3 linked regions of the Schizosaccharomyces pombe genome follow. Changing the gene in region 3 together with the main gene of any one other region gives a genetic interaction. Each region holds a gene or a part of one and is shown on either strand. Other genes may lie near its edges.

Region 1 (5,522 bases), on a different chromosome or scaffold from region 3:
TACATGTTTTAAAACAAGCTATTTAAAAAACATACCTGCGAATTAAAGCAACGGACGCATTCTTCACGATATATTACCTGAGAATTATCTGGGATTACAACGTTTGTCTCTGTGAGGTGCGGACACGACATGGGTTGCTATAGGTGTTTATGGATGGATGGACATGAGGTAGGCAGAATATTAACATTAGTTAATAATATACGTGCATCTTGTTGATTAACGTATCGCTACAACTAAAATACCATCATGTTTTACAGAGGGCTTAATTAATACTCCTAATCCTGCATACCAAACTCTTATTAATTCGTTTAATTATAAACTAAATTGCAGTACGTTACAGTACTGCAACGAGTAATATCATTATAACTCAATTTTCCTTGTTTGTAGAACTCCAGAGGTCCAATAATTGAACATCCTGGGGTTATTCTTTTTATTGTGTAAATAAATTAAAAACCAAGAATACTGTGCATGAACTATTACCATATTTAGACTTCCGAGTGCAGATGTATGCTGTCGAGTCTACCTATACTGCTGATTAGATATTGCTTATTAAAACAACATTTGTATCATTTCCTGTAAGCTTGCATTTTTATATTGAATATTCGAATAGAATACTCATTGCTGTATCCATGTATTAACGCAACAGTGGACAGCGTAAATAACATTGGCATATATAATGTTATCAAGCAGGAGATTTGTAGAAACAGCTTATTTACACAGTCTTAAAATAACAATAGTTAATTAATATTTCTTGAATTTTTTTTATGATAAGTGAAAATCCACACATCAGATTCTACTATACTCACTCAAGTTGTAAACAGATGGTTAATATACGCTGTATTTATTAAAATATCATTCTGAATATATCATTATCATTTACACAGGTACTCCTGAAATTTATAATATTAAAAAAAAAAAAAAAAAAAGAGAAAAAGATACAGCTAGATTAGCTGCCGTATTTTCTTTAAACCAAATTTATTTACACACTACATACATAATTCATGCCTATATTTATAAATGGAATAAAATAGAACAATTTTAATACCCAAAATTAACCTGGAAAAGCTAAGTTAAAAATGAAACGAGCCATATATATTGCCGATTATTATCATATTTTGATATCAGTGTTTTGCAGATGATTCTAATCTAACATATCTGAATCTTTTATTCTTTTTTGTGAAACTGACTTGCTTGCATCTTATGGCTGGAGTCAGTATAAATTTCTTAGAACTTATCAATCCAACGAATATACTTCTAAAAGATATTACATTAGCCTTGCACAACCTGCAGTTATAATCAAAACACTTAATCAACGTAGCTCAAGCATGTCTATTTAAGATGTTAAATATGTTTTGGTAAATTACTTTGCAAATAAAATTCTAAATACAATGGTTTGGCATTATGATAAAGAATAAGACAATTTACAAGCGAAAATAAATTTGACTGATGTGTCCAGGTACACTCATACTAGATACGATGAGCATTGATTTGAAACACCAGTATAATATACCGAGACATTAAAAGACAAACGTAGTGGCCATGCAAAAATATTGCTGCAACGTCTGTCCAGTTATCACTCGGATTCAATTAAGATTTGTTTAATTCCAATACTCACAAAGCTTGTGATGAACAATATTTTTCGTAATTTCAACCGTTCTGCATACTTTACACGACATTGATTTACAAAGTGTAAATTCATCTTCAAAGAAAAGTAGGAAAATAAAAGAAAGGAAGAAAACACTGTTCATGCATTTTTTCAAAATTGTTGCAAAAAATCTAATAAATTTATTTGGCTATCAAATGCTAAATCATAAATACTCGTGTGTTAGCGGTTCAGTGTATAACAAGTCAATCACAATGCTTATTTATATATCGTTTGATTGTAAAATCATTACATACAGTAGGAAATTTATTTTGTTTAAGAAATATTCTATCTTAAGTTTTTCTAAATTTACTTTTACCTAATGGCTCTTTTTAACTTTGTTGTAGTAAAGCTGCTAGGAGTTAATTTCTCTTCTTCGTATTGCCTACTTTTAAAATTTGAAAGCCACTACCAGATATTTATAAAGCCGAAAGGCTCGGCTTATTGCATTTAATTGCAGATAATTAGAATGGCAAACTTTTATCCAGATTTTCTGAATATGCAGCCACCTCCTAACTATGTAGCAGGTTTAGGACGTGGTGCAACAGGATTTACAACGCGTTCAGATCTTGGGCCTGCTCAAGAATTGCCATCCCAAGAATCTATAAAGGCTGCAATTGAACAAAGGAAATCAGAAATAGAGGAAGAAGAAGATATCGATCCTCGTTATCAGGATCCTGACAATGAAGTAGCGCTGTTTGCTACTGCTCCATATGATCATGAGGACGAAGAAGCTGATAAAATATATCAATCTGTAGAGGAACATTTAAGTAAAAGAAGAAAATCCCAACGTGAAAAACAAGAACAGCTACAGAAAGAAAAATATGAAAAAGAAAACCCCAAGGTTTCTTCACAATTTGCGGACTTAAAACGTGGGTTATCCACTTTGACAGATGAAGACTGGAATAATATCCCAGAACCCGGCGATCTAACTCGTAAAAAAAGGACTAAACAGCCGAGACGTGAAAGATTTTATGCAACAAGTGATTTTGTTCTTGCAAGTGCTCGCAATGAAAATCAAGCTATCTCTAATTTTGCAGTGGATACTCAAGCAGGAACAGAAACTCCAGATATGAATGGGACAAAAACAAATTTTGTTGAAATTGGAGCTGCTCGTGACAAAGTTTTAGGTATCAAGTTAGCACAAGCTTCGTCGAATTTGACTTCACCATCGACTATAGATCCGAAGGGGTATTTAACTAGTCTGAATAGTATGGTTCCAAAAAATGCCAATGACCTGGGTGATATAAGAAAAGCTAGAAAATTGTTGCAAAGTGTTATTGAAACGAATCCAAAGCACGCCTCTGGCTGGGTAGCTGCTGCGCGGCTTGAAGAGGTCGCGAATAAATTATCTCAAGCACAATCTTTAATTTTAAAAGGTTGCGAAAATTGTTCTCGCTCTGAGGATGTTTGGCTAGAAGCAATACGACTACACCCGGCTGCAGAAGCAAAAGTTATTATTGCAAATGCCGTTAAAAAATTACCAAAGTCAGTGACGTTATGGCTTGAAGCCGAAAAACTTGAAAATCAAGCTCAGCACAAAAAAAGGATTATAAAAAAAGCTTTAGAATTTAACCCGACTTCTGTAAGCTTATGGAAAGAAGCTGTAAATTTAGAAGAAGAAGTGGATAATGCAAGGATACTATTAGCTCGTGCCGTTGAATTAATACCCATGTCCATTGATTTATGGTTAGCTCTTGCTCGACTTGAAACTTATGAGAATGCTAAAAAGGTGCTCAATAAAGCCAGACAAACCATCCGTACTTCCCATGAGGTTTGGATTGCTGCTGCTCGTTTGGAAGAACAGCAAGGTAATGTATCACGGGTGGAAAAAATAATGGCTCGTGGTGTAAGTGAGTTACAGGCTACTGGTGGTATGTTACAACGCGATCAGTGGCTTTCCGAGGCTGAAAAATGCGAAACTGAAGGGGCAGTGATTACTGCACAAGCTATAATTAATACGTGCCTCGGTGTTGGATTGGATGAAGAAGATCAATTCGACACCTGGTTAGATGATGCTCAATCTTTTATAGCTCGTAAATGTATAGATTGTGCGCGTGCTGTTTTTGCTTTTTCTTTAAGAGTCTATCCAAAAAGTGAGAAACTTTGGCTGAGAGCTGTTGAACTTGAAAAGCTGTATGGTACAACAGAAAGTGTTTGTTCTATTTTAGAAAAAGCTGTAGAATCATGTCCTAAAGCCGAAATTTTATGGTTGCTTTATGCTAAAGAGCGAAAAAACGTTAATGATATTGCTGGTGCTCGGAATATTCTTGGGAGAGCTTTTGAATATAATTCTAATAGCGAAGAGATATGGCTTGCTGCTGTCAGAATTGAATTTGTGAACAATGAAAATGAACGTGCCAGAAAGCTACTTGCCCGTGCTCGTATCGAATCGGGAACTGAACGAATATGGACTAAATCCATTTCGCTTGAACGAATTTTGGACGAAAAAGATCGGGCGTTACAACTTTTGGAAAATGCACTGAAAATTTATCCCCATTATGATAAGTTGTACATGATGAAGGGTCAAATTTTTGAAGATAAAGAGCAGATTGAGCTTGCTCGAGACGCATACTTGGCTGGCACAAAAGTTTGTCCTTATTCCATACCTTTGTGGCTTTTGCTAGCCAAACTTGAAGAAAAGCAGTCCGTTATACGCGCGAGAGTTGTGTTTGATAGGGCTAAGGTTAAAAATCCTAAGAATGAATTTTTATGGCTTGAACTTATAAAAATGGAACTCCGGGCGGGGAATATTTCACAAGTTCGTGCAGCCCTTGCTAAGGCCTTGCAGGAATGCCCATCTTCGGGTTTGCTGTGGACGGAGGCTATATGGCTTGAACCTCGCGCACAGCGTAAAACTCGTGCTACAGATGCTTTAAGGAAATGTGAAGGCAATGCACATTTACTTTGCACCATCGCCAGGATGCTGTGGCTGGAAAAAAAAGCAGATAAGGCGCGTAGTTGGTTTTTAAAAGCTGTTAAGGCTGACCAAGATAACGGAGATGTGTGGTGTTGGTTTTATAAGTATAGCTTAGAGGCTGGGAACGAAGACCAACAGAAAGAAGTGCTTACAAGTTTTGAAACCGCTGATCCTCATCATGGTTATTTTTGGCCCAGTATTACTAAAGATATCAAAAATTCTCGGAAAACTCCGCAGGAACTATTACATCTTGCCATAAATGTGTTATGATTACGACAAAAATGATGACTGTAACATATTGGATCTATTATTTATCTTAAAATTAATGTTTAAATTGGTATTCGAATTTACTTTAGATATTTGTAAATTTACGGACTTTTTAATAAAAAAGAACGATTTTTAAACAGGTTCGATTGAACACTTACTTTAAATCAACAAGAATACCAGTTAAGAAAGCAGTAAAAGTGTAAACCAAAACTTTTTATGTAATACACACTATCAACACGAAAGTGGGTTTTAAAAAACACAAGGGAAAAACTTTCAAAAATAAGACAAAAAATTAGAGAAAAAAAAATTAAGTAACCCCTTTTAAGTATATGTTGCCTTTACTCAGCAACGGGATTCCATTGTGAATATATATCCCAGCGACTAGATTCGGCTTGACGCGACACATATTTGACAAATTGAAGGACACCTTCATCTCTATAAACCAAAGAAAAAACATTCCAAGCGGCTGGCAAAGAAAGCAAAATACTGTCATCTTGCTGATCACCCCTATACACAGCAGCATCTACATCAGGATCTTCATCGCCAATCATATAAATATCATATGCACCATTGTCAGTATTCGCAATGCCTGTCCCCGGAGATAAGCAAAGAGTAGCTTCTAGTAAAGCTGTGTCATTCGTAGTAGCAAGCGTAAAATCGGAACCAGGGCGGAATCGTCGACCAACTTGATGA
Region 2 (4,414 bases), on a different chromosome or scaffold from region 3:
TTAAAGGATCTGCGCTTTTTATGGTAGTAGAAAACAATGGACAGGAATTACTTGTTGAGATGCCTCCAAAGTATCGTAATAAAATATGGGTTAGGAGAAATGGGTTTGTAATAGTTGATAAATCTGAGTTTTTAGAGAAGGACAATAAAATTGACGGTACTATATTGTACGTGGTACAAAGCCCTTTAAAAAATTGGAAAAAACAAATTTATTGGTAAGAAATTCTCTTGAAATAACATTAGATGATTGTGCTAACTAGTTTAAAGGCCTAAAGAGTTTGCAGATGAATCGTTAAATCAAAACGATTCTGAGGAAAGCAGCAGTAGCGAGGAAGAATACGATAGTGACTAACAATTTACAAAAAATACATATATTAAGAATCCTTACAACGAACCTTGTAAATTAAACCGATGATAAAAAGCGTATAACGGGAAATGCTTGCAAGAATTACTTCATCCCACAATCGCTCATTACAATTGAGTACTTTGTTACACTTTAAACAATCCAATGAGAAATACTGATATTATTACCCTAACATTAAGATATTATACTAACCTTTTCATTGAAACTGAAATCACCATGCATTAGCTTTATAGCAATCCTCACCATAAAAAGCAATGACAATCGTGCGATCATTAAATTTACAACCTTTCATCTCTTCCATTGCGACCTCTGCAGATCTGATATCGGAGTATCGTACAAAAACCTTTCCAGTTCCTAATCCCGAGTTTCTAGTGCCAATACTACGAGGAATTTTTATATCTATAAGTGGTCCATAATTCGAAAATTGGGTCTTTACAGACTCATATATGTCTTCATATTCTTGTACATCCATAATTTCGTCCCCAGTAATTAAATTATGTAATTGTAAGACTCTAGTTGGAATAGATTGTGATGACGCCTTAGCAAGTTCTGTCAAAATGGCCATTCCATTAGACTTATCTATCATAGCTTGATTGAGACCTACACAAGCAAATTGTGCGTGTAACTTGTTCCCATACGTATCTTTACCATCAAGACCGCTGATAGCTACTTCCGCATCAGAAGGATTTTTAAATTCGCAAAAACAAAAACCCTTCGAAGATCCATCTGCAATATTTTTTATCAATTGAAAGCTTAATAAATCACCGAAAGGCTTAAGTAGCTCCACCACTTGATCTTCGCCTAAATTTAAAGGTAAATTTGAAATGTAAATTTTGTCTTTTGAATCTAAAACGTCGTTCTTGGCATAATCATCACTTCTTTTTTGAGAAACTTCGGGGGTAATTTGAGGGACGATGTAATTTTGAATTCTTTGAAATTTTAAAAAGACATCATTAGAATATGATTCGGACTGAAGCCCCCAGAGGAAGGTGGCATCTTCAGGAGTAGCGACCTCAAGAATAGCAAAGTTTTCTTCTTTACAGACGTTGACAGAGGAGAAATGCTTTGTCTCGGGTTTATGGTATGTAGTTGAAATAAATAGATCTTCGATAAATGATACAAAAGCATCTTCAACGAATTCGTTAGGAATTCCAGTAACCACTAGTCGACGAGCCTGTCTGCTAGCACCTGGTTGTAAGGGCGGAGGGGGAGCAATAATACTTCCTTCCGCAGAGCGAGCAAATTCTAGCAATTTCTCTGGATCAGTAACTGCAGCTCTAGGAGCGCCTGGCAAAGGAAAAACACCAGACATTTTCGCCTGGTCAGCAGTAACCAATTCATAACCAGGTGGTTTAATGTCCCATAAAGAGCGCTTCCTTTTCCACTGATTTATTGGTGTTACATCTCTCAATTGTTCGAGTTCCTGTTCGATAGACCTTACGCTTCTTTCTCGGCTGGGAGGTGGACTTCTACTTCTTCCGACAGATGAATAACGTAATGATCGAGGCTCATAATCATCATATCTTCTTTCTCTTCTTGGCCTCTCATCCTCTCGATAACTTCTTTCACGAGATTCTCTATGTCTACGAAAATCACTTTCGTCTCGGCGACGTCTTCTAGGTCGTTCAGAGCCATAATGGCCTCTCGGGTCTTCCCTTCCTATCCCACCCGAACCTCTTTCTCGTCTAGGTTCTTCATCGCGATAATCTCTGTGTCGCTTGGGTATCCGTGAAGAACCTGATGATAATCTGGAAGACAAATCCATGTTAGTGAATGAATATGAGGCTATTTAAAAAATTATTCAAAAAAGAAGGGAGGGAAGAAATTCGTTTATTAAAATGAACTCTTAAATTCTCCGGAAAAAACTTTGATGAAAGTAGGGAATACAAAAGTACAAATTCTAATGAAATGATATGCGCGTCAATGCTCTTGGATTCCTTGCTAAAAAAAATTTATAACATGAACAATAATAATTAACTTATTTTTTCTTTATGTGATACGCCCAAGGTTAGTCAAAAGTTTCGACTTACTAAGTTAAGGTAGTGAGAGTTTGTAGTAACTTCGCCAGCGTCGTAATTTTAAGCACAACGTTGTTGACTTACATTTTCTTTTTAGTTTCAAATAGCAACTTTCGCTAAACTTGCATTATAGACAACACTGTAACTTACGAATGCAGTTAAATTTTCAAAAGCATTTATTTAAACTGTTGTCCTTACCCTAGTACCATTCTCCTAAGTTTTAACGAATTTTTCTCTTTTGACCATAGTATTTGATTGTATGGCTTTCTTTTAAAGCAATCTTTAAAAATTTACAGCTGCCATGAAATTCAATAATTTTCGTTTTTTTTTTGCCAGTACATCCACGATAGATTTAATGTTTGTCTCATTTTATCCTTGAAATCCATGCTCTTAAATTGTATGTTCAATCTTTTAAAAATTTACTTTATTACACAAGAAGACGTTTACATTCATTCAAAATTTATTATTATTTATTTTCATACTAGCTTTCCATTGTTGTAAAAGCCGCTCTTTTTTTTAAATATTTGTTTACTTACGGCCATCATCTTGTGCACTTATTCAGTCGCGCTGCTGTGATATCTAAAAATTCATGAAACGATTCTTTAATGAAGCGTGCGACATAAACACTCCAGATAAATCTGGGGTAAACGAGAACAAGTTATGTTTCCCTCCCTTAAAAGTTGTATGTCAAGCACCAGAGACAACAGTTAAAGGACAAGTTGCCAATACTAATAAGCACAATGTATATTCTACTAAAAATTCAATGTATCTGCTGGGGTTCGAAGAAATCCTAAACACCGTCCTCGATTGTGAACCGCATATCTTTACTGATGATGAGTTGAGGGTTATTGAAAACTTTAAAGCTTTAGACTCGGATGAACGGTACTTGTTTGTTCGTCTATTCATGCGTAAAAGAAATAAATGGTTCCGCGTGGGCCATTTGACTTATCCAGATTGCAAGGATGTTATTGCCTGCTGTAAGCAGCTTGTTCTGAAAAATTTTTTTGAAGATGAATCACTCATGTCAACTGAAGAAATAATTGAAATTCTATCTCTCGATGAATTGCGTTCGTTAGCTAGACAAACGAAGGTGTGTGGAAAAAGCAGGTCTGAAATTTCAAAAGAAATCATTTTCCTATCTAAAAGACAATCAGTACTACATTGTAATGGTCAACAATTTTTGTCCTTTGATGCTTTTGGTGTGATGCATAAGCAAGAGTCGTTTCTTCGGAAGCAACTATTATATCAATGCAAATCCTGTGTGAAACCAAAGAAAATTTTAGTAGACCTATTTCATCGAATTAATATTGTGTACTTTCGTTCGTCCATTTATGATGAACAATCGCTTACGTCTTTAATATTAGCACGCCTTAACAAATTTTCCTACCCGAATTACGTTTTATCGCGAACTTCAAACGTCTTTAATTGTCGTGCTCAATGCCTTGAATACGTTGAGGTTTTAGAACTTTCAAAAAACTTGGTTCCAATCTTTGAAAACACTGCCGCTTCGGATAAGGAAGCACTCGAACAAGCGTTGAACAGTTTTTTTGAAATATATCCTATATGGTCGACATATCTAAATGAAGACATTAGGGAATTTTGGGTGGAAGAAAATAGAAAAGTAGATACTCGATTGGTAAGGTTTTCTTTTAGCTTTCGTCCTGGTGCTGTTTACACATACTTAATACATAAAAGTCTAAATATTCTCGCGAAGTCGCGATTAGTTGAGGTTGAACATGAAATATTAGATACCCTTTTATCTCAAAATATATATTTGGTGGGTAAAAGAGGACATTGGTATAATAGAAAAGCCTTACTGGAATACAACTTTAAAACTGAGGATACTAACGTTTTGCGTTATTGGAAAACGCTTGCTTTATCAACTTGTGAAAATGGTATTGAAGACAAGTATACCCACCTCAGATATTACTTTAGCTTACAAAGGAGACTTGTTCGCTTACGGAAGTGTTTAAAAGTCTCTAATACTACCGAATTAAAAAGCATGAAACTTATAAATAATAATCCTTCAAGAC
Region 3 (4,411 bases):
CCTTCAGAAGAATAAAGCTTTTCGATTATTTTTTCGATAACTTTAGAAAGTAAAGGGAATAGCGCAACTAATGTGATTGAACTAGCAAAAGAGTCGGTGGATAATATTAAGCTAGCCTTCATTGGACCCCAGCCAAATTTATAGTCCGTATAAAGCGGCAATAAGCCCATTGAACCAGCGCCGAGTAAAGTTAAAGATATCAATATTGCTGCAAGTAACACGTCCCAGTGTCTTCTTCCTGCATGGGTATCAGCATTAATATCGTACTGATGGAATTCGCATGATTCCTCTGTACATAAACTTCGAGGCCAAAGAATTATAAGTGGCTCAAGGCATGATCTCCATATCGAGGAAAATCCAGATATTTTATTCTGCTGCTCTTTACTTTCCGAAACATCTAGGCTTTCTGGAAGTATCAACCAAACGTAAAGTAAATAAATAATCCAAAAAGTTGAAGTAATATAAAATACATAATACATATGAGGAGTGTATTGCACAATGAATCCGCTTAAACTAGGTCCCAAAGCGGTTCCTAGATGGTAAGCAGCAAAATTTAATCCTAAATACCATGCACGAAACTCGGTCTTAGAACAATCTGCAACAAAGGAATTTTGGCTGGCTACAACGGTAGAAATATAACCGCCTAAGCCTTTCAAGGCAGCAGCAAAAAGAACAAAATATGGATGCTTGGGGGCATAGGACTGATATAAAAGCCATAAATCACCAAGCAGCAAAAATGAGACGGTAATGAAAAGTACAAGGCGGCGACCATAAATATCCCCCATTGTTCCATAATAAGCGGTGGAAAAAAGACCTAAAAAGGCGGCTAAAGAGCCAAAAGCGGCACGGACTTTTGAAACACCAGTAGTAATTTCCGCTAGTCGGCATATTGGGTCATCTGGGGACAACTGTGTAGGATCAAGGTTATAATGAATGGCACATAGTTCCTGTCGAAGTAAAAAGAGCAGAGGTATTTCAATCATGCCCCAAGAAAAGGCATTAATAAAGTTTAATGGAAGAATCAAAAGTGGAGATAAAGAACGTCTTCTGGCGATTTCACGACAACAGTTATCATTGTTACATATAGATTCATTATTATGATGAGAATTAGATGAATCTGGTTCATTGAAAGAGATGGGTTCATTAGAATTGGAGGTAGAGTCGTAATTTTTAGGCTTCGCCTTAAATGAGTCATGCGAGCTTGACTTTGCAACGTTATTATTGCTTGAACTGGCACCATTGGTTTCATGCTTTAATGAATGAGAATTACCGTTGCATGCAGAACCTTTAGCTTGCAAAGGACAATCAGAACAGTATTCTCTTTCTGGTGAAGGAGTTCTGGATCGAAAGGGCTTGTTCACTGACGGATCGGAAATTAGTAATGGAGTATGATCATCATCGTGTGAAGACATTTGTAGCTCCTTCTCAAAATGGTGGGTACGCTGATAAAATAGAATGTAAATTATAACCCAAATACTCTTCTACTCGAAATGTTCGCAATAATCAATTAACTCGTTGCCCTCAAACTGCAGCATCAATTGTAAAATTCCTTGCACCTATATCCTAAAAATTTTTCTATATGCAATATATACGTTTCACAACGTTTTCGATTTCGAGATAATTAGAAGACTTTAGGTAGTTGGTGCTACTAAGAAGGTTGAGAACCGAAGGAAAATATTTGCTCGAGAAAGTAATTTTGAACTACTAGTTACTATGAAGAAATAACTATATTCCAAAATGACAATGCAATGTAATTGCTTTGTAGTTGGCTAAGCCTTTAGATGTATATATATTAGACGCTTAGATTCTGGACTAGTTTAATTAATGCTGTTACGTTGTGGCGTTATAGTGTCATCGTTAGTCGTTGAATAGTTCTTATAGTGAAATTGGGTATAATATTCGAAAAAAAATTAGCAAACTCGCTATTTTATGCTATTTATTAATTCTTTCTGTTCTTACTGTGAAAGATATTTCTTATATTCCACTTACGTTTGAACTGAGGCTCTTGCTGTATTTTAACTTACGGCTTGCAGTATCAATATAACTATTGCTACTAGAAATTACCTTTAGTCTACGTATTCCATTGAAGCTCTCCGAACGCATCATCTATAGGAAGTTTATTTCTTTTGGAACGGCAAATTTGCCAACTTCTTGTCTGTGAACATATTTTTGTGATTGTATTCTTTCTTCTCAATTCCTTTATTTCATGCTAAGTTGAGCTATTTGATTTCATTTTAGAGCATATACCGGTACATAACTTATTAAATTCTGATTCCATAACAGGAGTGGAATTGATTTACTAATTCTCGGAGTACATTTATTGTAAATTTGAGCATCTCTATTATTTTGGCTTATTTTAGTTAATTATTGACTGTAAACCAACAACATGACTACATTACTGGAAACACCTGGATATAGTGAAAAACTTCATGATTCGATTGAAAAAAAACTTTCTGAATATGGGTGGGGAGAAGAGGCTGCTTCTCTGGCCGATTTTGTTCTTGTGATGCTTAGCAATGGAAAAACACAAACTGAAATTAATGAAGAACTAGTTGATTTAATAGGGTCCGATTTTGATACTAGCTTCTCACTTTGGTTATTTAATCAAATTGAAGAGCTTGAAAAATCAAAAAATGCTTCAGTTGAGTCAGTCAGCAAGATCGACGAAATCGATTTTATCGAGAAGGAGTCAACTGACAAGTCGCAGCAATCTTTCTCTGTGCCGGAAACTAGCATACAACCTCAATCTTCTCAAACTCCTAATATAACTTCGTTACGTGAAGAGAAGGAGCTACCTACTGGGCGTGTCGGACAAAAGCTCAAACTTACATCTCAGAAACAGCGATTCAATCCCATGGCAGCTTCGTTTAACTACTCGAAATCCGTTATGCCTGCTGCCAAGCGTGCTCTCACTCAAACCCAAGAGGTCCCTTTGTGCAAATATGCCGATAAGTGCTCCCGTGCTAACGTATGTATTAATATCAGATAATTTGTTAAAACTAACTCTTTAGTGTATATTTGCTCATCCGACACCAGCCGCAGCCCCAGGAGAAGGTATGGTCCTGAGCAGTGAAATGTGTGCTTCTGGTAAAGAATGCAAAGCTGCTGATGTAAGTACCATAATAATTTAAATCTAACTATTACTAACGTATACAGTGTGTCAAGGGACATCCATCTCCAGCTACGGTTACTACATTACCACCTTTCATGTCCATGTCAACCATTCCAATTCCTTGTAAATATAAACCGTGTTTGAATCCAGCTTGTCGTTTTATCCACCCGACGAAAAGCAGAAATATGACATGGCGGCCACCCTCTAAAACAGAAGAGACGTCCCTGAGTGAACGTTCGTTTGCTGTTAACGAGTCAGAAGAACAACTTCATGTTCCTTCTGTGTAAATTTAGAGAATTATGATACTATTTCGTGTTCGTATAATTGGCACATATCTACTTTTGATAGTCAAGCCAGGATACTTCGTTTAAGAACATACCTTCTAGAGTTTGCAAACTTGATATTTATTTTATTGTATAGATTGCTAAAACGATAAAGTTTTATTTGTCGCTACGTTTGCTGCAATCGGCAATTATCAAGTCGCTAAATTGATTTAAAAAATTTGTTTTCGTTATATTGATGTCTTTTTAGTGAATGAAAATTTTATTTTGATGTGAATTATGCAAATAATGATTTATTTACTTCTTCGGTTAAGTTAATATTATACATATTCAAATACCCACGTTTGTTGACATTCATTACTAAATACATCTTATGTTACTTGTTGGTTACTTGGCTTACACCATGTTGTTGACAACAATCACTTGGTATTTACATTCGCCAGTTTTACGTCTATACACATACCCTTTAGTTAAAAGGTTTTTTTTAATTGAATGGAGGTCCCTTCTTATTTTGACCCCGATTATGATCCTTCGTCTCTTCGAGTAGTAGATTTGCGTAATATATTAACTGAATATCAAATATACTATCCGTCAACGGCGAAGAAAGCGCAGTTAATCACGCTTTTCAGTAAACTACGAAGGGCAAAAAATGGCTTGATCTCTATGACAGAATTGCAGCAAAAGAACGTTCCTCCGTCTTCTCGTAGTCCTCGTAGAAGGGTGGCAGGGGTTACGAATAATGTTACTGCTCGAATTAGCTCTAAGAGAAAAATAAATATGGTTGACGAGGCTAATGATACAGAAATTTCTAAAACTTCACAATTTGAAGATAATGTGATGGGGATGTTACAGGACGAGAACGTTCAAGTTTTGAATACTAACACGATAACCATTTCAGAAGAATCTGAATTTCATGCCTCAAAGATTGCCAAAATAGATTCGCGAAACGAAGAAATAACACATATACCATTTGAGACGCAAACTGAGCTTAATGCGGCAGTTGTAAACCTCGACAACT

What was found.
Region 1: of nab2 (region 3) and prp1, changing one suppresses a phenotype caused by changing the other (phenotypic suppression), as found in Schizosaccharomyces pombe (one study listed by BioGRID).
Region 2: of nab2 (region 3) and prp2, changing one suppresses a phenotype caused by changing the other (phenotypic suppression), as found in Schizosaccharomyces pombe (one study listed by BioGRID).

Annotation. Positions count from the first base shown.
Region 1 is NC_003423.3:2,639,879-2,645,400, forward strand, and holds prp1 (U4/U6 x U5 tri-snRNP complex subunit Prp1), read left to right. Parts: upstream 1-2,042; 5' UTR 2,043-2,111; coding exon 2,112-4,832; 3' UTR 4,833-5,019; downstream 5,020-5,522. Other genes in the region: ubiquitin hydrolase Ubp14, read right to left, coding at 36-131; ofd1 (2-oxoglutarate and Fe(2+) dioxygenase domain-containing protein 1), read right to left, coding at 5,168-5,522. UniProt on the Schizosaccharomyces pombe protein: Involved in pre-mRNA splicing. Interacts with prp6 and prp13. May also be involved in the regulation of the G0-G1/G2 transition. Required for pre-spliceosome formation, which is the first step of pre-mRNA splicing. This protein is associated with snRNP U5.
Region 2 is NC_003423.3:1,011,269-1,015,682, reverse strand, and holds prp2 (U2 small nuclear RNA auxiliary factor small subunit, U2AF-59), read right to left. Parts: upstream 2,374-4,414; 5' UTR 2,129-2,373; coding exon 575-2,128; 3' UTR 504-574; downstream 1-503. Other genes in the region: tif1102 (translation initiation factor eIF1A-like), read left to right, coding at 1-214, 267-351; fan1 (fanconi-associated nuclease 1), read left to right, coding at 2,971-4,414. UniProt on the Schizosaccharomyces pombe protein: Necessary for the splicing of pre-mRNA. The SF1-U2AF59-U2AF23 complex has a role in the recognition of the branch site (5'-UACUAAC-3'), the pyrimidine tract and the 3'-splice site at the 3'-end of introns.
Region 3 is NC_003424.3:5,237,793-5,242,203, reverse strand, and holds nab2 (poly(A)-binding protein Nab2), read left to right. Parts: upstream 1-1,985; 5' UTR 1,986-2,386; coding exon 2,387-2,968; exon of another isoform or gene 2,969-3,011; coding exon 3,012-3,110; intron 3,111-3,156; coding exon 3,157-3,399; 3' UTR 3,400-3,878; downstream 3,879-4,411. Other genes in the region: SPOM_SPAC14C4.07 (transporter), read right to left, coding at 1-1,412; LEM domain-containing protein Man1, read left to right, coding at 3,886-4,411. UniProt on the Schizosaccharomyces pombe protein: RNA-binding protein involved in RNA processing. Acts as a regulator of mRNA stability: binds to mRNAs and pre-mRNAs, preventing their degradation.